Diceros bicornis minor: one gene and its partners. The protein of the gene in region 2 purifies or fractionates together with the protein of the main gene of each other region. This does not show direct contact. Links are inferred from orthologs where the notes say so. Each region holds a gene or a part of one and is shown on either strand. Other genes may lie near its edges.

Evidence for each region.
Region 1: the proteins of MTNR1A (region 2) and GNAI3 purify together in Homo sapiens (tandem affinity purification; 3 studies listed by BioGRID and IntAct, with this or other methods). This does not show direct contact. The link is inferred for Diceros bicornis minor from reciprocal best matches to the Homo sapiens genes MTNR1A and GNAI3.
Region 3: the proteins of MTNR1A (region 2) and GNAI2 purify together in Homo sapiens (tandem affinity purification; 3 studies listed by BioGRID and IntAct, with this or other methods). This does not show direct contact. The link is inferred for Diceros bicornis minor from reciprocal best matches to the Homo sapiens genes MTNR1A and GNAI2.

Annotation. Positions count from the first base shown.
Region 1 is NC_080743.1:42,585,095-42,592,676, reverse strand, and holds the start of GNAI3 (guanine nucleotide-binding protein G(i) subunit alpha-3), read right to left. Parts: upstream 3,008-7,582; 5' UTR 2,906-3,007; coding exon 2,788-2,905; intron 1-2,787. UniProt on the Homo sapiens protein: Heterotrimeric guanine nucleotide-binding proteins (G proteins) function as transducers downstream of G protein-coupled receptors (GPCRs) in numerous signaling cascades.
Region 2 is NC_080768.1:17,951,186-17,958,481, forward strand, and holds the start of MTNR1A (melatonin receptor type 1A), read right to left. Parts: upstream 3,012-7,296; 5' UTR 2,999-3,011; coding exon 2,770-2,998; intron 1-2,769.
Region 3 is NC_080741.1:51,277,778-51,285,724, reverse strand, and holds the start of GNAI2 (guanine nucleotide-binding protein G(i) subunit alpha-2), read right to left. Parts: upstream 3,061-7,947; 5' UTR 3,014-3,060; coding exon 2,896-3,013; intron 1-2,895. UniProt on the Homo sapiens protein: Guanine nucleotide-binding proteins (G proteins) are involved as modulators or transducers in various transmembrane signaling systems.

The DNA of each region.
Region 1 (7,582 bases), on a different chromosome or scaffold from region 2:
TTTATATGGGACGCCACCACAGCATGGCTTGACACGTGGTAGGTTGGTCCACGCCTGGGATCCGAACCTGTGAACCCCAGGCCCCAGAAGCTGTGTGCCCGCACTTAACCACTACGCCACCGGGCTGGCCCCAGAATCTGTAACGTTCATTTTGATTTAATAATAACAATAATAGTTAATATTCATTGAGCTAATACTACGTGCCAGGCTGTGTTCTACTTTATTATCATATTTAATCCTCACAGCAATCCTATGAAAGTACCTTTATTTTCTCCATTTTGAAGATGAGGAAACCGAGGCAGAGAAAAACTGAGTAAATAACTTTCCCAAGGTTATAGCTGATAAATGAGAATTAGAATGTAAAACAGTCTGACTTCAGAACCCATATGGTTAATCATTATGCCATACTACATCCCTGCAAGGAAGAAAATACAGTAAGATTTAATGAACACCTATTACGTGCCAGGAGAGACAAGGGTAAGTAAACAGTTCTCAACTTAGACTAAGTTTGATAGTTTCAGTGATGAAGTAAAAATGACTTACATATACATCAAAAGGGGTATTCTACAGCAAAAAAAAAATTACTTACATACTGTGATGTATGCATTTTGCTTATAGAAAAAGGAAGATAATTTTAATTTCATATGTGCATTATGATATGGTTCAAGCAAGAGCATCTGTCTCTGCAACCTATTTGAAGCTGTTGATTTAACTTGCTCAAGAACATAAAAAAATCTTTCTTAAAACAACGAAATTGATAACAATTAAAAGCAAATGCTTTAGTACTTGGATTTTTACTTACTGCTTTTGAAGTTCCCCAGGTCATCATGTGTTTAATTTTGTTTTTAATTAAATGCACTACTTAAAAAGTCCTGAACAAAGATTTTTCTAGACATTTGGACAAGTTCTGCTTGTATAGGTTCTGCCAGCCAAATCCCGCCATTTGGAAGAAAGCCTCACAGTTTACAACTATATTACAATAGGCTAATGTCCTGAGGGGATCTCTGACAGTCAATGTAAATCAAAACACTCACAAAGGATGAAAACATACCTTCAATTTCATAACCAATCTCAATATAGACAATGCTAATGCCTTGAGTACATATTATGGTTTACATCAAACATCTGAAAGCCCCCAAAGAGCAACATCCAACATTAGCCGGCTCATGCTGGTTGACAGTCAATATTTAAGGAGCATCTACTACGTGCCAGGGACCATGCTCATCCACAAATGATACCTGCTACATAGAGAGTGGCAATCTAGAACTACAATTTAAATTCATGCATTCTGAAAGATCATGTATTCAAACTGGAGCCCAAGCTCCAATACATAACCTTCCCCCTATATCCAAAAAGCTGTTACCAGGGTTTCTGCAATCTACAAACCACCAAACATGTTATCATGAAGAGACTAGCACAGGCACCCCACACATCCTGGAGTACAAGATAAGTCTTGGGTTATGGTGGCACATTCTGTCCTCTGGAGTTTTACACCATGAAAATCTAGCACTTCTCCTAAAGTGACTTCTTTTTCTCAAAAGTCAATTGTTCTAAAAAGTAAAGTTCTATTGCTTGCAGAAACCATTTACTCCTACTTATTCTCCTCTAAAGATCCCTAGAAAATACTCATAGTAAAGAAATGTGGCTTGATTTATTTATTGGTAAGTGGATGCCTAGGTACTTTACATGATTAACTGAGCCTCCAGAAGCCAGTCTCACAAAAATTTTAAAACTAATCATGCTGAGTAAAATGCATCTGACTGTACGTAAAAGCTACTTAAAACAAATGTCAGGTAAAAAAAATAGTAATTCCTAAAGCCAATGTTTTTAGTTTGAAGAGACCAAAAAAGATAAAACAGTTCACCAGAAGTCTGTCACAGCTTTTAAAGTAAATATGTCCAATTCCATAATTTATCCTAAGATAACTCCATTTCCACAGCACATCATCCCTAGCAACTATTCAGCAACTCCCAATATGTAATCTATTGTCCACTACGCCTTTTGCCACAAACCTCAAACAAGCCAGTTCTCAAATTTCCTCAACTCACACCATCTCCTCCTTTATAAAAACAAGGGAAGGCATTACAAAACTTTAAGAGAACAAAAATTACAGAAACAGCTGGAAAAGTACAGACAGCCTCTGCACCCAAGCTCTTTTCCTTTATACATGAGAACGTGTCATTATCTCAACCACACACTTGCATGTTCCTGGAAAATCCAGGGTTCCTCCAGCTCACCCAGAGTTCAAAATGCCCACTCTCTAATAAATGACAGGGTCCTTATGTGACCACTCTGTCTCAGCCCCTCTCTCTATTTACATTAATCATCCAAGCCTCCCAGCTCTATCCTGTCATAAAGTAGCACTACGCTCCAAACTCAAAAGCCATTATACAAGCCCAACACACTACCCCGTCCTGCTTGCTACCAACGCACTCCAACCCCTTGCAAAACCGTCCCTAATATCGGCTTTTCCTTTATGAGCTTTTCCCATATTCCTAACACAGTCTCAACGTCCTACTGCCCCACGCTGCCAAGCTCTCTTCGGTAAACACAATTTCAGCACAGAGTCACACCCTCTCTCCAGCCTAATTCCTACAACCCCAAAACCCCACCTCCTCATGACGCCCTCCGGGGCCTCAGCCACCTACCCAACACCCCGCCCCATGCCCGTCACGCCCTCCAGATCCCTGCGGGGTCCTTTCCGCCAGCCCGGCCTGACCCCGCTCTGGGCTCCCAAGTGCCTAGGCCCTCGCGATGACCCCGCCAGCCCCGCCCCCAGCCCCTCACCGAGTAGCAGGAGCTTCACTTCTTTGGCCGCTTTCTCCCCGTCCTCCCGCAAGTTGCGGTCGATCATCTTGCTCCGCTCCACCGCCGCCTTGTCTTCGGCGCTCAACGTGCAGCCCATGGCGGCGGCGGGAGAGGGGACCGGGCCCGGACTCACTCACACCCCGCAGAAACCGCAGCTCGGCTGGCTAACACAGAGCCTACTACTGGGCGGCGGCCCTCTCCGTCAGCTTTCGGAGCTCCCGGAGGAACCGGATATCCGGTGTTTACGACACTTCCGGAAACGCCCCTCGGCCGTTACTGCTTGAACCTCTCTAGGTGGGGTAGAGGAGGCGCGAGAGGAAGCGGAAGTACGGGGAGAGGGACGGTGAGGTTCAGCCGCAGTGCCGTGGGTAGCCAGGTCATGTCGAGCTCGACCTTAGTCCCCTTTCACCTTTTCGGCTGCTGTATTTGAATAACTGTAGAAAAACCAGGGACTGCCTTCTCCAGTTCATGACCCCCTCCCGAGGTCGTGAGTGGCGAGGTCGTGAGTGGGAGGAATTCCCAAATAATAGCCCACAGCCCGCGCGGGAATTTCTGCTGGGAATTTCTCACTGGCGAGAAAGCCCCTTTGATCTCTAACGTTAGAGACCCGTGGCCCCTGCCCAAGTGTAGGACAGTTCCTCTGCCGGGGCCATTTCAGGCAGATCTCTGGGATGGGAACAAACTCCAAAGCCTGGGCCCCGGCCACGCTTCGCATCTGAGATCTGTAAGACCATGCCTAGGACTTCAGATCCCTTTCTGCCTTCTCTAGCCCACTGCCTCCTGCTCTCAAAATGGACCCTGGTCCTCGGGCCGTTTCATACGAATTTCTGTGGGCTTTAGAGGTGCCTAGCTACTGTGTTGGCAAAGGGCCACTTGAAATCGCTAGCGTACTCGATTATCTGAAAGGGAAGCGTGTAGTTCCTCCATAAAGTTTCCATGCTGCCTTTCTCCGATATAAGGCAGTTTGGGCGCTTACAGATTGTACTGCGTTAGGGTCTTAGGATTCGTACCAAGGTTAGTCAACCCCTGACCCACACCTCAAAACAAACCAGTGCATCCTGTGAATCTCCTAATAAAATTTCCTTTTGTGATAGCCAAAAAGGGAAGTTCTAGTAGAATTTGCCTCTCAGCTGTAGCATCACCTGAAAATTAATAAATCCCCCATAAAAGCCCCAGACTGATAACCTTTTTCACTTATAATCCTGGGTACTACCATGAAGGTGGCCCTAAATTACCTTGACTGCCACATAGCCCCACAAATACTCTCACTATACGTTCTAGGGAGGGTACCTCTTGTAGCCCCCAAAACCTTTCCCTGTGATTAAAAGTTGTTTCCCCAGGCTGGCCCCATGGCGTAGCGGTTAAGTGCGCACGCTCAGCTGCTGGCCGCCCAGGTTTGCATCCCTGGTGTGCACCAATGCACTGCTTGTCAGGCCATGTTGTGGCAGCATCCCATATAAAGTGGAGGAAGATAGGCACAGATGTTAGCCCAGGGCCAGTCTTCCTCAGCAAAAAGAGGAGGATTGGCATGGGTGTTAGCTCAGGGCTGATCTTCCTCACACACACAAAAAAATTATTTCCCTAATAGAATCTAAACCTTAGAATGTAAAGTCGCAACAGAAAGGTGTGTAAGGTGATGATTCATTAATTAGATTTCTTGAGAGCCACCTTAAACAGCCTCATCCACCATAATTTATCAATGCCCTTTCTTCAAAGTTTGAAAAGTCTACTCATTCCCAAACCTGTTAGAATAGAAGGGACTTCTTTCCCATAATCAATACTTGTGGGGGAAAAAGGGCAAGAGGAAAGGGAAGAAAAACCAATATTTATTGAGTTCCTATTTGCCAGGTATGGCTAGATGCTTCCACGTGTCATCTCTTAATCCTCACAACAACCCTGTGAGGTAGGTAATGTTATCCCCATTTTTACAGATGAGGAAATAGGCTCAGAGAAATTAAGCATCTTTCCCAAGTTCACACAGTGAGTAAGTGGATCTGACTCCAAATTCACCCCTTTTCTACCATTCCACTTTAAGATGTTACCTGGGGAGACCTGACAACAGAAGGTTTTCATCTAGGATTGAAAGTTACCCCAGCACCACTAGGGTGCAGCAAAAAGTGATGGAACGGTTGTCTCAACCTGTTGATTCTTCAGTGGATGAGAGAGGTCAAAATTTGTCCAGGAACAGCTTTCACAGCTAAGGATTACATCTTGAACTTTACCAAGCAATCCTGGTAACTAGAAAACTCCTGGAAGGTGGTCATGACAGAAATTGTTGGGAAAGTTCTCAGCATAATAAAAAAGAAATTTTTATTTCCTTCATGATCCACTCAGGGAAAAAGAAAGGGCAAATGAACCAGCGTATGTCAAATTCTGTAATAAACTCCAGTGAGATCACAGTGTCAGGAAATTTCAGCCTGAATTAGAGATATCCTTGCACTTAAAATTTTCTTCTTTGATGTATGTGAAGGAAGGGTTGGAGGGCAAAGTCAAAGGAAAAGGCAAAATAAATTAACAAAATGGCTGCCAGGCAATGTTTAGAGCCCCCACCCCACGAACCGCACCTTTTCTGTTTCCGCTGGACTCACACTGCCACCTGCTGGCAATGCTTAGGCCGTACTAGCTGATCAATGATGTTTGGAAGAAGAGTTCTCCCCCTGTTCAGGAATGAGATTCCTCTCTTATGAGTGTATCTTAAAAGGGAGGAGAGAGTATGTTTTTCAATCACAAGAGACTCTCCTCAGTGTATACTATCCAAGGGATTTCCTCAATGTAATAGGCCTTAGACTAGAGTAAGTCTAGGAGTAGGAAGACAGACACCTGGAAATTTTCCTAGATCTGAAGGGGGAAAGCTATTTGCCCAAGTTTCATTTAATAAATTGTTTTTCTTCAACTAGAGTTTCATTTACAACCCTCATACTTTTCACAATCTGCAGGAAGCCTCCATGTACGTATCTTGCTGCAATGGACTGAACTCTCAGAAGTGAGAACCAAGAGCATATTCTCCAATATATTTCTCAAATACATTCTGTACTGCTTTACCAGATGTAAAAATACAAGGTACCTGATCAAATTAGACTATGAACTCCTTGAAGGCAGTGACTCTACATCCTCTGTGTGAGTGCCAGAGAATATTGGGTATTCAACTATTATGCACTGAATTGAACTGAAGGAGTCAATGTTGATATCAGTATAACTTTTTATAATAAAAATTATTTATTGGCTGTTCAAAGGGAATCTATCCCACTCCCACCAGCACATCTTCCCCTTAGATGCTCGATGAGCCAGGAATTTGTTTAAATACAGACCACACCACCCTCTGGTCCTACCTTAACCCTTTAATGTCACCTGATTCAATTGAGGGAAGTGGGATGGACAGGTAGTCCCAGATGGATGTCCTGTCTAGTTTGCAATTATTCCCCTTCCCTTGAAAATACCACCACCGATACCAACCAACACAGTTCCTACAGTCTCAATCAGTGAACAGCTGAGCCCAACTCCTGTGCCCTGTCTCCAACCCAGGGCTGCAGATAGGAGAGAGATTAAGTCTTTGTCACTGAAGCTAATTTTGAGAGCGATGAATGGGAGTAGGGAGGCATTTAATGAACCATGGAAACCCCACCTTTCCCATTCCCAACCTTAGTCTCTTGTACCCGATTGTCCAGGGGGCTGGAGGTGGGTCACTGCCATGAGGAGAGAGATCAGGAAGGCCAGTCCTAGGGAGAAAAAAAAAAAGATTTATAGTATTACTGGTCAGGGTGATTGCCTGGCCTGTCTGTATCCAACCACCTTAGCAATTTAAATGATATCAGTATAACTTTTTATAATAAAAAAAGTTATCTTCAGCCCCCAATCTTTCCACTTCTTCATCCTAAAAGACAAGGAGAAAGAGCCATCCAGTCTTAGTCTTGCTTCTGCTGAGATCAAGCTTGAGGGCGGAAGACAGAGAGCTGTAGTCAACTTTCCTGTCTTCTACTCGATGCACACTGATTGCTATTTCCTCCTGCTTCTGGTCAAACTCAGGAGAGGAATATACCTAGTCCTCTCACTTTAAGGAAACCTCAGGTCTAAAACTAAAAAAAAGATCTATTAACTCAAATGGAAACACTTGGCTATAATTTAGTTCTTGTTAAACCTAGCAAGGAAATGAGAAGACATGGGTCATTTTCTTACCTTGCTTGGGTGCAATGATTTCCCTGGACAATTATACTGAAAAAGGAAATATCCTAAAGGGCCCCGGAATAACTCCAAACCTGGCCTGCTGCCCTGTATCCTCCAGCTCCTACCCTTAGAGAGTTTCCCTGCTTCCTGAGGCGTGGAAAGTTCACTGGTTGAAAGGCATCATCTCACCTTCGTGACCCGTTACTCTCGTCACCATCTCACCAGGTTCCCTCCCCCAGTAGTCAAGCATCACAGCCATGTCCAAGGCTTTTGCCACATGTCCATCTTGTTGGCTCTGTTCCTGACCCAAAAAACACTAAGCAAAAGCTGTGTGCAGAGACCCCAGCCCCAGCCCCAGCTAGCTGGGAATAGGTGATCCCACATGGTGTTCCATAACTGGCCCTCAGCCCCATCTCCCTCCAAGTGTCCAGCAGCCCATCATGATTCCGGTCGAGGTGAGGGAGCAGGACGGAGGTAGCTGTCCGACATGATGATGTCGCTGGTGAGTTGTTGCTCCAGGAACTCAGAGGTCTCCTCAGCTATCTGGCCTGGAATTCGAAAGTCAACAGCAGGTGGCTCCTGCTTGGGGCTGGGTAGGGTTCGGGGACCCCAG
Region 2 (7,296 bases):
ATTTTGAATAGGCAAAGTATTTTGTACTCTTGCTTTATTATTTTTATAAAAGTTTTATTGAAGTATAACGTACATATAGAAAAGTGCACAAATCATAAATCTACAGTTCAATTATTTTTAACAGACTGAACACACCCTTGTTAGGTGTACCTAGAAAAAAAACACATAACTTTACCTGCTTTATTCTTTTGAAAGTATTTCCATAAGCGTCATCTCACTAGGTAATGGCAACAATCGTGTGAGGCTAAAGGATGAGATACTTTCTGTATTTGACAGATGTGGAAAATGAGGGTTTGGTACCTTAACTAATTTCTCAAATCACAAGGTAGACAGCACAGATATTAATCCTAGCATTCCAGAGCAGGAATCTTCCCGTGACACTACGAAATTTACTCAGAAGATGCAAATACGGTAGATCAATTCTAGTATCAAATTGTGGACAGACGTAAGACCCTAGTGGTCATTTGGAGCCTGTGTCTGCTCTGAATGGCCAGTGTCCCTGACATACGGCTGTTAAACATTTTTAATTTCTTCCCTAGGAAGTCAAATGTCAATACACTCCTGAGGAAAGAAGGGGGTCATAAATAATTATACCAGATTCCAAGAGAAAGCACTAGTTCAAAACTTAAGATGACTTAGCGTTCTTATTTTTTTATCTCATTTCTTCCATTCTGTTCTTTCCATCTTTTCACCCTCAATGCCAACAAAATAAACTTAACTGAAATGGAAGGACTGAAAAACCATAAGAACTTTTAATAAGCATCCCCAAATTCAAATTCATATTTGGATCAGCTATCTCTATCACTGTTTCAAATTACCATCCATTCTAGAAAGCCTCCAATGGTTTGAATTGCAACAGTGGTACAACTAGCTGAATATAAAGTCCTAATTATAAAAATATGAAAGATCAAAAGCTACGCAGATTAAAGCTCACTATGGTCTCCCAGTCAGCTACAAGGATGCAGTATTTTATAGACTGCCCCATCAAAAAGTTGGTTAGCAAACGAACAAAATACAAAGTAGCGTGGAAGGAGCACTTTTCATAAGTTCTTTTTTTTACAAATTGCAAGAGGGCCGGCCCGTGGCTTAGCGGTTAAGTGCTCCGCTCCGCTACTGGCGGCCCGGGTTCAGATCCTGGGCGCGCACCAACGCACCGCTTCTCTGGCCATGCTGAGGCCACATCCCACATACAGCAACTAGAAGGATGTGCAACTATGACGTACAACTATCTACTGGGGCTTTGGGGAAGAAAAAAAAAGGAGGAGGATTGGCAATAGATGTTAGCTCAGAGCCGGTCTTCTTCAGCAAAAAGAGGAGGATTAGCATGGATGTTAGCTCAGGGCTGATCTTCCTCACAAAAAAAATAAAATAAAATAAAAATTGCAAGAAATACAATTGTTCCAGGCATGTGAATATCATTTTTTTAAATGAAAGGTTCTGCAGGATCTGAACTTCCCAAGAGCTGCAGTTGTTGAAGTCAATGAAGTAGAGTGCGCTCTCGATTAAACCTGCTCCACCACCTACGGTCGGTAAAACCAATCTGTGTCCTTGGATCGTAAAGTGGGTGACAGTGGCACCCCACTACAGGGCTGCCCCGAGGGTCCAGTTAACAGGCTCTCAGAACCGTGTCTGGCCCACAGAAAGCTGCTTTGATTGCTAGGAAGGAATGAGCCTCTTCTGGAAGGCAGAATTTCTCTAGTTTAAGCCAATCTATGAAGTGAGGTTATTCCACGGACTAACTCAAATTCAATTCATGTTATCAGGTCCTTATTAACTAATTCTTAAACTATGCACTGTCTCAAGCATTATGGAAAGCAAAAAGGAAGCCCTCCCAGAAAGAAGCTAACAAAATTACAGTGTTGACCAACTACCTGGTTGGAACAAAAACGATTGCTTTTGACAAACATGTAAGTGCATAGCTCCCTCCCCTCCCCACCCCCACCTCCAGAAAGTTTGCCTCCAAATAAGGAACTAGGCACCTAATCATCAAGTAGAGATCTGAGCGTCCAGTGTCCTGTGGACAAATCGCCCTCAGGCTCCCACTCATGATAAACCAATTTCAGTTCATTGCTTGGAAGAAAAAGGAAATTTAACTCAAGCGCTAAATTAGCTTTAGTAGTATATTACATGTAAACACACTCTTTACTAACTTGGAGAGATAATAGACACTTTCCAAAGCATGTTTAGGAGCCTACGGTTCTTTTCAAATTGTATGCTAAAAACTGAAAACCACTCCTGACAACAAAACTAAAATCATTGCGCTATCATTTTGCCAGCTTATATATTTTCTCATATTTTAACAAAGTTGGGGAAAATAAATTATATGTAAAACCAAGCAACTGATAAGTTCATTGATCTGATTTGAAACGCCTTCTTGAAGAACTTTCTGCAACCTGTACCCGTGTCTCCCAATCTAATAAACCTCAGAAATTGAAAACTGTACAGTGGGGCTGTCCCCTAAAATAAAGAGAACCTGACTCGGGCAAAGTTTTCTACCCCTTAGAAACTGAAGACGCCTTGCTGTTTTATGCAGAAACATCTTAAATGGGCAGGTTAAAGGAAAAGGAAACCGACGGGCTTCAGTCTCTGTTAGGAAAAATGACTCCAAATCCCCAGTATTTAAGGAAAAGAACTGAGCTTTTCTTAGGAAAAAGCCACTTGACAGCTGAGGGTGCTGCGTTCTGGAAAGGTGGCCAGACAAGGGAGAGGCTGCCGTCAGGGGAGAGTTGAGGCTGCACGTCCAGCCCGCCGGGCCCCGGGAGCCCCTACCTGCGTTCCTCAACTTCTTGTTCCGACACACGGCCAGGATGACCAGGAGGTTGCCCAGGATGTCGACCACGATGGTGAAGATGAGGATGCAGGCGAGCGTGGAGGCCAGCCACGAGGGTCGCGGCCACGTGCCCTCCCCGCCGCCGGGCGCCGGCTGAGAGGCGTTGAGCAGCGCGCACCCATTGCCCCTCAAGGTCCCGCCCGGCGCGCCCCAGGGCCACCCGGCCATCGCGCGGGCCCCGCAGGCGCCCGCCGCCCTGCCAGCGGCCCGAGCGCCGCGCGACCCCGCTCCGCCACTTCTAACGCCTCCTCCGCGCCCTCCGCGCGCCTAGCCTCACCCCAGCGCCCCTTCGCAGCCGCCCCGCGGCCGGACGCTGCACCTGCAGCCCCAGCCGGGTGACACCTGGCGCCCGCCTCCAGGTCCCCTTGACGGCGGGGCTGGCAGCCCCGTCCCGCACCACGTGCCGACAGCGCCCCCGTGCGGGCTGCCCGGGCCCAGCCGCTGCGCCCCAAGGGGGCAGGGAGCCCAGAGAAGGCTTTGCAGGGAACGTCGCCCTTCCTTCCGTCCCTCGTGTTTCCTCTCTGGGACATGTCACCAAGCAGGGCCAGTATGCGTGCGCTCGAACTCTACCTCGGATTGAGGCACGTCCGGTAGTCACCAGGTGTCCCAGTTTCCTTAGCTGTAAAATGGGGGTAAAAGAGTAGATAAATCGTCTACCTCCTAGATAGTAAGAGGTGAAAAAAAATCAAGGAACTTGCTCAGTCAGGTATTGCACCATTCTTGAAGCTCAAAACGTTTTCCCGGTTCCCCCCACCTCCACCCCACACACTGTAAAGGTCATCCATAATTTTGATCGTCTTTCCCCAAAAGCTACTTTTATTTTGCGACTTCTTGAACGCTGTCCTTAAAATTCCAAGTTCTCATCTATTTCTCCCTGCAGGTCTATTAGTTTTTGCCTCATGCATTTTGATGCTCTGTTATTAGTCAGGTGCATACATGTTAAGGATTATGTCTCCTTGGAGAATTGACCCCCTTATCATCATGTAATGCCCCTCTTTATCCCTCAACACTTTCCTTGCTCTAAAGTCTACTCTGTCTAAAATTAATATAGCTACTCCTGCTTCCTTTTGATTAGTGTTAGCATGGTATATCTTTCCTCATCCCTTTACTTTTAATATATATGTGTCTTTTTTATATTCAATGTGGATGTTTTGTAGACAACATATAGTTGGGTCTTGTTTTTTGATCCTCTCTGACAATCTCTGTCTTTTAATTGGTATATTTAGACCATTGATGTTTAAGGTGATTATTGATGTATTTGGATTAATATCTACTATATTCATTACAGTTTCTTATTTGTTGCCCTTGTTCTTTGTTCCTATTTTTGTCATCTGCTCTTTTCTGTCTTTTGTGGTTTTAACTGAGCATTTTATATGATTCCATTCTCTCTCCTTTCTTAGCATATCAGTTCTTCTTTTTTGACTTTTTTTAGTGTGTCCTAGAGTTTGCAATATACACTTACAACTAATCCAAGTCCACTTTCAAATAACAGTATCCTACTTCATGGGTAGTGCAAGAACCTTATAATAAAAAAAATACTCCTAATTTCTCCCTCTCATCCTTTGTATCATTGCTGTCATTCATTTCACTTATACGTAAGCATATATAAGCATGTATGTATACATAGCATACATAATCAAATACACTGTTGCTATTATTATTTTGAACTGTAAACTGTTAGGTCAATTAAGAATAAGAAAAATAAATGTTTTTATTTTACCTTCACTTATTCATTCTCAGATATTCTTCCTTTCTTTATGCAGATCCAAGTGGGTTTCTGACCTATATCATTTTCCTTTTCTCTAAAGAACTTCTTTTAACATTTCTTGTAAGGCAGGTCTACTGGCAATCAACTCCCTCAATTTTTGTTTGTCTGAAAAAGTATTTCTCCTTCACTTTTGAAGGATAATATTGCAGATTAAAGAATTCTAAGTTGGTGGAGTTTTTCTCTCAATGCTTTAAATATTTCACTTCACTCTCTTCTTGCTTGCATGATTTCTGAGAAGTCAGATGTAATTGTTATATTTGCTTCTCTATAGGTAGGGTGTTTTTTTATCCGACTTCTTTTTTCATCTTCAATTTTCTGTAGTTTGAATATAGTATGCTGTTGTTTTTTAATGGGTTTTTTTGGGCATTTATCCTGCTTCATGTTCTCTGAGCTTCCTGGATCTATGGTTTAGTGTCTGACATTAATTTGGGGAAATTCTCAGGCATTATTCCTTCAAATATTGCTTCTGTTTCTCTCTCTCTTCTTCATTACATGCATGTTATACTTCTTGTAATTGTCCCACAGTTCTTGGACATCCTGTTCTGTTTTTTTCAGGCTTTTTATTCTCTTTGCTTTTCCATTTTAGAAGTCTCTATTGTCATATCTGCAAGCTCAGAGATTCTTTCCTCAGCCATGTCCACTCTACGAATGAGCCCATCAAAGACAGTCTTCATTTTGATCTCTAGCATTTCTTTTCTATTCTTTCTTGGAATTTCCATCTCTCTGCTTACATTATCCATCTCTTCTTGCATGTTACCTAATTTTTCCATTCAAGCCCTTAGCATATGAGTCATAGTTTTAAAAAATTTCCTGTCTGAAAATTCCAACATTCCTGCTATCTTCCAGCTCTGGTTCCGATGCTCGTTCCCTTCCAACCGTATGTTTTGTCTCTTAGTATGTCTTGTAACTTTTTGTTCAAAGGCAGACATGATGTATTGGATATAAGGAAGTGTGGTCAACAGGCCTTTAGTAATGTAGTTGTAAGGTGTAGGAGGAGGGGAAGCGTTCTATTGTTCTACGATGAGGTTTCAGTCTTTTGGTGAGCCTGTGCCCTTAGACTGTGAACTTCACCAGTGCTTCTCAGTTCCCCCCACCTTTGGTGGGACAGGGTGGCTAGAGAGGATTGAGGTTATGTTTCCCTTCCCCCACGTGGAAGCCTAGAGCCAGCTGCAGTTGGAGTTGGATATTTCTTTTTCTCCAAGTAGGCTGGGCTTGGATAAAAACCCCAATAGCTTAGGCTCAGGTTAAAGAGTTTCTCCTGAGGGCAGACCTTGTTAAGAACAGAATGCTCTGGTGTTTTTTCAGAATAGTTCCTTTCCCCCTCACTTTGCTGGAAGCAGGAGGGGATTTTTCTGAGATATTCACTGTGAAGCCTGGTAGAGCTCCTGGAGGTAAACTCACGGATGTGTGGGAGGCCCTCCTATGACTGGGTCCTCCTGGAGTTTTTAACTCTCAAATTTGTCCACATTGAGCTTCTAGTAATTCGCCAGTTACAGTTCAAATTTTCCTACCCCAGCTGTGGGTTTCTGCTCTGCTAAGTTGTGATTCTCTGTATCCACCTGTCTGTCTCTCCAATTTTAGGGGCAGTGGTTTGCTGTGTGACCTCACTTTTTTTTTATGGACCTAGGAAAATTGGCTGATTTTTTCAGTTTGTTCAGATTTTTACTTGTTGTTAGGATAGAGTGGCAACTTCTAAGCCTCTTCTATGCCAGGAATAAATAGGTATCTTAAAAGAATAATTCTTCATGACCATATGGGGTTCATTCCAGGAACTCAAGGTTTGTAGAACATTAAAATATATTAGTATAAGTTATCACATTTGTGGATCCAAGGAGATAAACTACATGATCATCTTACTACAGGCAGAAATGGCATTAAAAAAAATTCCCTGTCCATTCCCAATTTTTTAAAGTTTCTATAAACTTTAAGAAGAAAAGAGTTGACACTATAAAGAATATTTCACAATAATGTCTATCTTAGACTTAAAAGAGAAATGCTAGTTATTCTCCTTTAATTTGAGAAGAGGGAATGCCTGCTAATATCACACCAATTTAACATTGTGCCAGATGTTTCTGATAATGAAATGAGATTAAAAGAGAAAAATGTAAAAATAAATATTTGCAGATAATAGGAGTGGGTGTACTTCCTTAAATTCCAGTGAAAATAAGATAGAATACATAATTAAATAGAAGATCTGATATATAACAGTAATCAGTGTAAAATTGCTAGGAAATGGCTTAACCAGCAGTCTGCAGGGCAATGTGGAAGAAAGACTCAAAACTTTGCTGAGAATGATGAAAGAAAACATAAATAAAGGGAGAGACATACTGTTTCTTTTTTTTTTTTTAATTTTTTGTTTATTGCAGTAACATTGGTTTATAACATTGTAAAAATTTCAGGTGTACATCATTGTACTTCTATTTCTGCATAGATTACATCATGTTCACCACCAAAATACTAATTACAACCCATCACCACACACATGTACCGAATTATCCCTTTCACCCTCCTCCCTCCCCCCTTCCCCTCTGGTAACCACCAATCCAATCTTTGTCCCTATGTGTTTGTTTATTGTTGTTATTATCTACTACTTAATGAAGGAAATCATGCGGTATTTGACCTTCTCCCTCTGACTTATTTCACTTTGCATTATACCCTCAATGTCCATCCATGATGTCACAAATGGCTGGATTTCATC
Region 3 (7,947 bases), on a different chromosome or scaffold from region 2:
TGGGAAAAGCACACCAAGTGGAGGGATAGATGCAAAGTCTCAGAGGCAGAAAGAACTGCTGTATCTACACCCGAAGCCTTCATGGGGCCAACAGTGGGCACTATCTCTCCTTTCTCTGTAGGCTGCCCAGAAAGCCCATCCCAAATCAGAAGACACTCCCCAAACATATGCTCTGGCTTTCTTTCCCCTAAGTGCCCAGCCCAAGGCCCCAGATTCCACCTGGGGATAGCTGGTCAGTCAAGTTGAACTTGGTAGAGGTTGGGGTATCCCTGGAACAGGGCTGGTATCAGAAACTCTGCTCCCCCCACCAAGCTGCCAGGAAAAACCCTCTCACCAGTGTGTACCACATCTGCCTCTGCCCCAGTGACAGTGACTGTACCTGCCCGCTGGCAAGGCTACCCAAGATGGGAAGGAACCAGTATGCGGGTGGGGCAGCAGGCGTGGTTCTGGCTGAGAGAGAAGGCTGGCAATTGCCCAGCCTGAGTCCCGTTGCCTCGACAGAGTCCTTTCTGCTACATGGGACAGGCACCCAGCATGCTGAAGCTGCTCCAGCAGCTCCATCACCTCTTTGTACCTGGATGGGAAACGGATAGCCAGCCACGACCCCTCCCCAGCCAGCCACAGCAAGTTGGGTCCTCAATTTCAGGCACAGCTTGGTCTCCCAGCCCCTTGCAGTGCACCCTCTGCAGGGTTTTAGCCCCCACCCCACACTCCCAACAGGAACCTCCACAAGGCCCCTATTCTTCCCATTCTGGGCCCAAGCACTCCTCTGGCCCAAACCCAGGAAGCCCATTTCACAGAGGAAGCACAGCCAGAGGAGCAGGATGCTGAGATGGACTCCCCAGCCTAGCAAATGCTGAGCCAGACCCTGCACCCCTGGTTGCTGCCAGCCCAGCATGGGAGGGGTTACCAGGCTCAAAACCTGAGCAGGGCTCCAAAGAGCAAGACTGATGGGATGCGGTAGGGACACAGAACAGGACAGGAGCTCTGTGTCCCCAAGCCCCATGGCACATTCCCATATCTCCTCAGCCGCTGCAGTCGGCCTGAGAGGGGGCTAGCTAGATGCTCCTGGCTGGGCACGGGGAGGCAGCAGTACCGGAAGCACCTTCTCCAGGCCCAGCGGGCAGCAGCGACGGGCATTCCACCGCGTCGACACCCACTCACTGCCGCTGCCGCACTCACAGCAGAGACAGGAAGAGGCAAGCGCCCAACGCAAAACAGCCCAGGAGGCTGGGCCGCCGCCCCTTCCCGCCCCTTCTCTTCCTCCCCGCAGCGGCGGTGAAGCGGATGCCATTTTGAAACCTCCAGGGCTGTGCCCCCGAAGCCAGGCCCCCAGGGACAGTCAACAGATGGGCCCATGATGGAAGACATGCTGTCCCTCGGCCATACGCCCAGCATGAAAAGCCCTGCTTTTCACAGCCTAGGGACCCCAGAGCAGCTCTGGGGCCAAGGGGCCACACCCCCCCACATACACTGTCCAGCCTTCCTCGCTGCTGTGAGGGCCTCCCGCCCCACAACCCTGAAACGCCCCCCAAGTCAGGCTGCCCCTGGGCACCACACTTGCTCCGAGTGGGAAACTGGACGGGAACAACTACATGGCCCAATCTTTGCAGAGGTCCACCACAGATGCCCACCCTCAGCTGGCTCCCCAACTCCTCATCCAGCTGGTCCACCACTCCCCCTTCACAGGGCCTCAAGACCCAACAGGCCCACTCACTCCCAGAGGCCATGTCCGAGACTTTTCGGCCTAGAAGGAGTGCGGGTAGCCCAGTACCCGTCAGCCGATCTCCTCCGCCCCGCCTGCCGGGGCAGCAATATGTCGGCTGTCTCACCACTTCCACTTCCCCCCACCTCTCAAGCATCCACCATCTTCCCTGGCCGTACAGGCGCCGCAACCCAAACTCCTCCACACTCCCTCCTACTCCCCAGACCACCTCCCTCTCACAGGCCCAGACAGGGCTTAGAAACTGAGAAACAGAGAGTCAGTGTACTCTCCCTGGGAAGTTTGAGGCCTGGCCCCCTCCCCCAGCATGACCCGTGGAGCCTCAGTCCAGCCCCTTAGGGGTCTGGGCCCCCTCCAACCAGCCCAGCCCAGCCCAGCCCACCCAGTGCAGGAGGGGTGGGGGAATCTGGGCAAGGCCAGAGTGTGGGAGAGGACTTAAGGGAGGGGGAGCAGAGGGTTTAAGGAGTGATGCCTGCAGAGAGGGACTTGGTGGGCCAGATGCAGAGAACAGGGGTCTCTAGAGGTTTGGGGGTTCCGGCTAGAGAGAGGGCTCATGAGCAGTCATGTTTACCCACTTGAGAGGTCCTTTGGAGTCAGGGTGCACAGGTGGAGGATATAGGGTCCAGAGTAGGGATGGGGCACAGAGGGGAAAGGAAGGAGTGGGTGGGGGCCTGGCAGGGGCCCTCGGGGATACTCATGCCCAATAGGAATAGGGGGAGCAGGTGGGGGAAACAGGTGGTGCCTGAGGGTAGGGGCCGCGTGGGGTCTAGGGGTTTGGGTAAAGTCTAGGGAGAGATGGAAGGACAAGGCAGGGGCTCTGAGGGTCTGTGAGTTGGTGAGCAAGGGTGGATGGTCAAGCAGGGTTCTGGGCAGCTGGTGTTGAGGACCTGGTGGCTGGGTTTGGGGTTTTACGGTCTGGGACGAGCTGAGGGTCTAGAGTCTGCGCTATGGATCAAAGGTCTAGGCCAACCCAGAGTTTTGAACCATTATTTGGGTGTTCTGGCCAGGCCGGGTCCGGGGATTCAAATCCAGGTGTGGGAGTTCACGCCGAGTCTGGAAGTTCGAAGCCGTAGTCTGGAGGTCTAAGTCCTTGTCTGGGGATTTAGGCGGGGAGTGTGTGTGTGGCGGGGGGGGGGGGGGGGGGGGGGTCCCAACGCTGGGCGTGGCCTCACCCAACAGCAGCAACTTCACCTCCCGCGCCGCCTTCTCGCCGTCTTCCCGCAGATTCTTGTCGATCATCTTGGAGCGCTCGGCCGCCGCCTTGTCCTCAGCGCTCACAGTGCAGCCCATCCCGCCGTCCGCCGGCCCGGCCGCCGCCCGGCCCCCACACGGCCCCCGGCCCGGCTCGGCCCCGCCCGACCCACTCCGCTCCCGCCGCCGGCCCTCTACGGGTAGCTCTCGGGTCGGCAGTCCCGAGCGTCTGCGGGCGGTGCCTTCCAGGCCTCCGCGCACCGACGGCTGGGCGGGCCGCGGGTGGAGCCGGAGCGAGCCAGGCCCTGGACTGGGCCGGGGCGGGTCCGGAGGCGGGGCCATAGGGGATCCGGGGCAGGTGATTGGCTCGAGGGCGGAGCGAAGGAGAAGTTAGGCGCTGCTCAGGCTCGGGCCGGGGCTGGAGGCGGAGCCACGCGAGGGATAGCTGTAGGGGTAGAGCCAAGCTCAGAGGGATTGGGCTCCGAGCCGGCTGCAGGCGGGGCCGGGCTCCGATTGGGTGTGGAGCGCCTGGAGCTCAGCGGCCCACGGCGGGGGCGGGAGATCTCGTAGCCGGAGGGTGGGGATCCGGTGCACCTCGCGGCCAGAGCAGGAACCAGTCCTCTGTACTTGTTAGTTGGGCGAGCTGGGTGGAGGAGGCGTGTCTTCGTCACTTGTTAAAGTTAATGAACCCAATAAACTTGTTTCGGGATCTGCAGAGGGCCAGAGCCTCTCTGGACTGGGGCTTGCTCCGTCTTAAGGCAGGTTTGTCACCTTCTCTCTCTGGATTGCAATATTAAAAAAAAAAGTCTCTTACCACCTCTAGTCTGTCTCCCTCAGCTGGGGTGCCTTCTCTAGTCATCCAAGGCTTATCCATCCTTCTCTGATCTTCTAGGAGGCATCCCCCTGCAGGTAGCCATCTTGGATTTCAGTCTGGGACCTGGCAACCAGGACCCAAGAGAGAAGGAGACAGAGAGAATGAGAGAGAGAGAGACAGAGAGAGGGAGGAGAGGGAGAGGGATATGCCGCCTGACTTTTGGAAACATAAGTGGCCATGATCTTATGGCCTGTCCCCACTGGATAGTGGCTGCAACCCTATGGCTGGTGGGGTGGAGGCAGCAGTGTTTTTAGCAGAACATTTCAGTCTTTCTAATCCTGTTCTCCAGGAGGAGTCCACAGCCCCAACCTCCGATGGATATTTGAAGGGTCTGCCAAGGGTTACCCAGGAAGGTGTCCTGTGTGGCCCCAGTAACATGAACCAGGGAGGCCTCGGCCCAAAGACAAGGAAGTTCCACAAAGCCAGGAGGGGAGCTGGCCACCAATGCTTGGCCACCCACAGCCCCATTCAGCACAGACTCCCTCCTTACCACACTGGCACACATCTTGTTTCAGCTCCCCAGTCCTCAGGCTGTCTGCTCTCCCTGCAGTATCTGTGTATCCTATCTGAATGGCTCCCTTATTGAGGAGCCATTGCCCTGTAAGTCCCCCAGTGGTGCCCCCATGGCTCCCTCCTGCCTGGAGCCAAAGCTCAAGCAGGCCCTGCCACAAGCATGTAGCGAGCATAGTGAAAACACATACTGCCCACCTGGGACACAGACACTCAGAGATATGCTCTATCCATACATAGGCCCAGCCTCCAACATGCCTCAGATCCATAGAACACACTGTAAAAATGGGTGCACATAGCCAAGAACACAGCCTGTCCACACAGAGACTACAAACGCAGCTCCAAGGCGGGCCTCTTTCCCCACCAGCCCCAGCCTGTGCTTGATCCTCCCTCCTTGGGCCTCCCCAGCCTGCTCCTAGCAACAGCCAACAGCTCTTGCAGTTGCTGGGCAACAAGAGAACCTGTCAGCCCCTTGGAGGCCAGGCTCACCAGCGGTAGGAAGACACAAACCCCAATCAATGGAGGCAGGGCAGAATGGGGCCACTGGGAGGCATGGCCTCCCCCAGCCCCAGGCCAGGTAGTGTGGTCCTTGCACCCTTCCCACCAGTTAGCCACTCCCTGCTAGTTACATGTTCTTCCTAGCGAGTCCAGCCCTCCCTGCTTCCATGCCTCTTGCTGCTCCATCTCCATGGGGGTCCCCGGGGCTAAGGCTAGGCCTCTGATTGCTACTCCAGTCACAAACCTCCCACTCCAGGGGCTCAGAACCCCACACATGGTCATCTCTAGCCCAACTTCTCCCCTGATTGCCAGCCCCACGTCCACCACTACTCTGAAGCCTCCACCAGACACTTCCGGCACCCTCAGTGGCCCCTACTCCTGGGCTCTCCACTTTGTGGCCTCTCACCAGCCAGAGCCATGACCCTCCCTCCCATCCTGTCAGTTCCTTCCCCTCCTCAATTCCCCCTCAAATGCATCCCATTTTCCATCCCCACTTTCCCTTCCTTATTCTAGGCCTCCAGCCTCCTCCCTGGCTCTCCCATTTCCCCTATAATCCATCCTCTACTAGGCAGCCAAGGGGATCTTGCTGAAAGAAATCACAATACTCTCTTGATCATAAACCTTCTGTGGCTCCCCAATGTCCTGAGGATAAAGCCCACACACACTGCTTTGAACTGTGCAGGAGGCAAAAGTGGTAGAGTGCTGGTTGATGGCAAGGACTCTGGGGAGCAGTCTGCAAATTTGCCACCTGCATATTACTTTGAAAGAGTACGAGAAACTCCCTGTGCCTCAGTTTTCTTAGCAGTAAAATGGGCCTAACAGTAATATCTAGCCACTAACGCACCAGCTGAGGTCAGGACCAAGAGAAGAAATGCAGGTAAAATGTTCAGAATGTGCATGGCGCATGGAAAGCCCTCAACAGGGGTGAATGAGTTGTTATAATAGCAATTTCTGCAAGGCCCTGTAGGGGCTGTCACCACCCAAGGTCCACCTCATCTCCCTCCACTTACCATACACAGGAGCACTCCAGCCGTGACTTGCCTTGCTCTCCTCATCCTCTTGTTCCTCCCCCACCCCCATCCCTTCTCCCCATCTTTCATTCCCTGCCTGTGAGCATTCCCTCTCTGACCCCCATTGTCTTGGGGCTTCCCCCTCCCTAGCCAGATCCCACTGACCTGGTGGTGAGTCTCTCCCCTCCTGGGTCTCTGATTCTAGACCCCTGGCAGCATAATTCTTGAGGGTGGCAGGTAAATATTTGTCAAATTAAATGAATGAATAACATAAACTCTACCCCGCCCTTCTAGGGGTCCCCCATCCTGGAGTTGGGAGAGGTGTAAACAAGGAATCCTGCTGCCATTAAAAAAACATCCGCCAAGGTTATGTGTGCACAGAAGGGAGAAACTAACGGTGCCTGGGAAGGTCAGGGAGCCTTCCTGGTGGAGGTGATGTGGGGAGTGCTGGATGGGGAAAAGCACTGAGGGGGAAGGTTGCAGGAAGAGGGAACAGGGAGGTGGGACCGGGAGGGTGGATTTGGTGAAGGGCCAGAGAGAAAATCAAGGATCAGAGCTGGAGACACTGCTTGCTTTGCAGCTGAGGCAACTGAGGCCCAGAGGGGCCAGGACCCATCCACAGTCATCCAATAAAGGATATCACAGGCATCCTGCTTCCTTCACACTTGGGAACCCAGGAGTCCTTTTGAGACGTTGTTTTTGGGGACAGGGGATGGCTGCCTAGCCAGGGCCTCATGGGCACCAGAGGAGGCATGACTTGTCCCTGTGCACACTGGTCCAGCATCACCTGGACTAGACCATAACAGACAAAGAAATGACATCCAGCAGAACTGAGGGCTGCACCACAGCTGGAATGGAGAAGTGGCAGCTGTCAGCTCACCAGGACAGCCAGAATAGCCTTGAGGCTCACCACAGGCAACAGGGCAGGTCCAGCTTGTCCTGAGTTCCTGTGTGCACCAGGCTAAGCAGGGTGAGGAATGGAGACCCCCTCAGTGGGCTGTGACACTCCAGCCCACAGGCTCCAGGAAGGGGAAGCTGCCAGCACTTCCCCAAAGGCAGTTTTGGGGTGGGTGTGTCTGCCCCCACCCAGAGTCCAGGAAGAGGCAGGACCCCACAGGGATACTCAGAGTCCAGGATCCTGACCACCCCACCTCCATGGCTCCCAGGAGGCAGGGAGTCCCTGGCAAGACCCTGTGACCACCAAATCACAGCCTTGCAGATGGCCTCAGCAGCTTCTGCTTGTAGATCTCAGTGGCCAGAGCTGGCTCCCTCCCTGCAGCCCTGAGCCAGGCTCCACCTCCTGGTACATCCCCAGCACTTCCCCCTTCCTACTTCTTAGCCCAGCAGCAGTTCTGAGATTGGAGTCGGCTACCCTACTCTCTCTGCTCCTTCCTTCCAAATCTCTCTTCCCAAGCTTTTCTTTCCCTGGAAGGAACAGTTTCAAACCTAGGGGGTCTTGGGGTCCAGGGTCCCCCTTCCTGTTCATCCACCTCCTTCAGAGACAATAGGCTTTGGTCTGGAAAACTCAGGCCCCAGCACTCCTTGCTAGAAGTTTCTGGATGGGATAGTGGGCTCCACCTGACACAGGGGCCGGAGGATCTGGGAGGAGGAGTTATCTGTTCAACTACTACTTGCTGTGAACCTACAGCAAATAGGTTCAGAAGAAGGGGGACCTGTCCTCAGCACAGTGGCACACTGTGCTGAGAACCCTAGGGTGAGGGAGGCAGCTAGGACCCTGTTCCCCAGGAGCACATGCCAAACAAGTAAACAGGCAAATGAATTCCAGTTTCTGAGGAAATCAACGGGGTGACCTGAGAGCCACTGGGAGGTGTATGTAGGAGGGAACAGTCTGAAGACAGGACCTTTAAATGACAAGAAGTGGGGGGCCTGCCAGGTGCCACAGCGGTTAAGTGCACGCGCACTCTGCTTCCTATGGCCTGGGGTTCGCAGGTTCGCAGGTTCGGATCCCAGGCACGCACCACTTGTCAAGCCATGCTGTGGCGGCGTCCCATATAATGTAGAGGAAGATGGGCACGGATGTTAGCCCAGGGCCAGTCTTCCTCAACAAAAAGAGGAGGATTGGCATCGGATATTAGCTCAGGGCTAATCTTCCTCACACACACACACACAAATGACGAGAA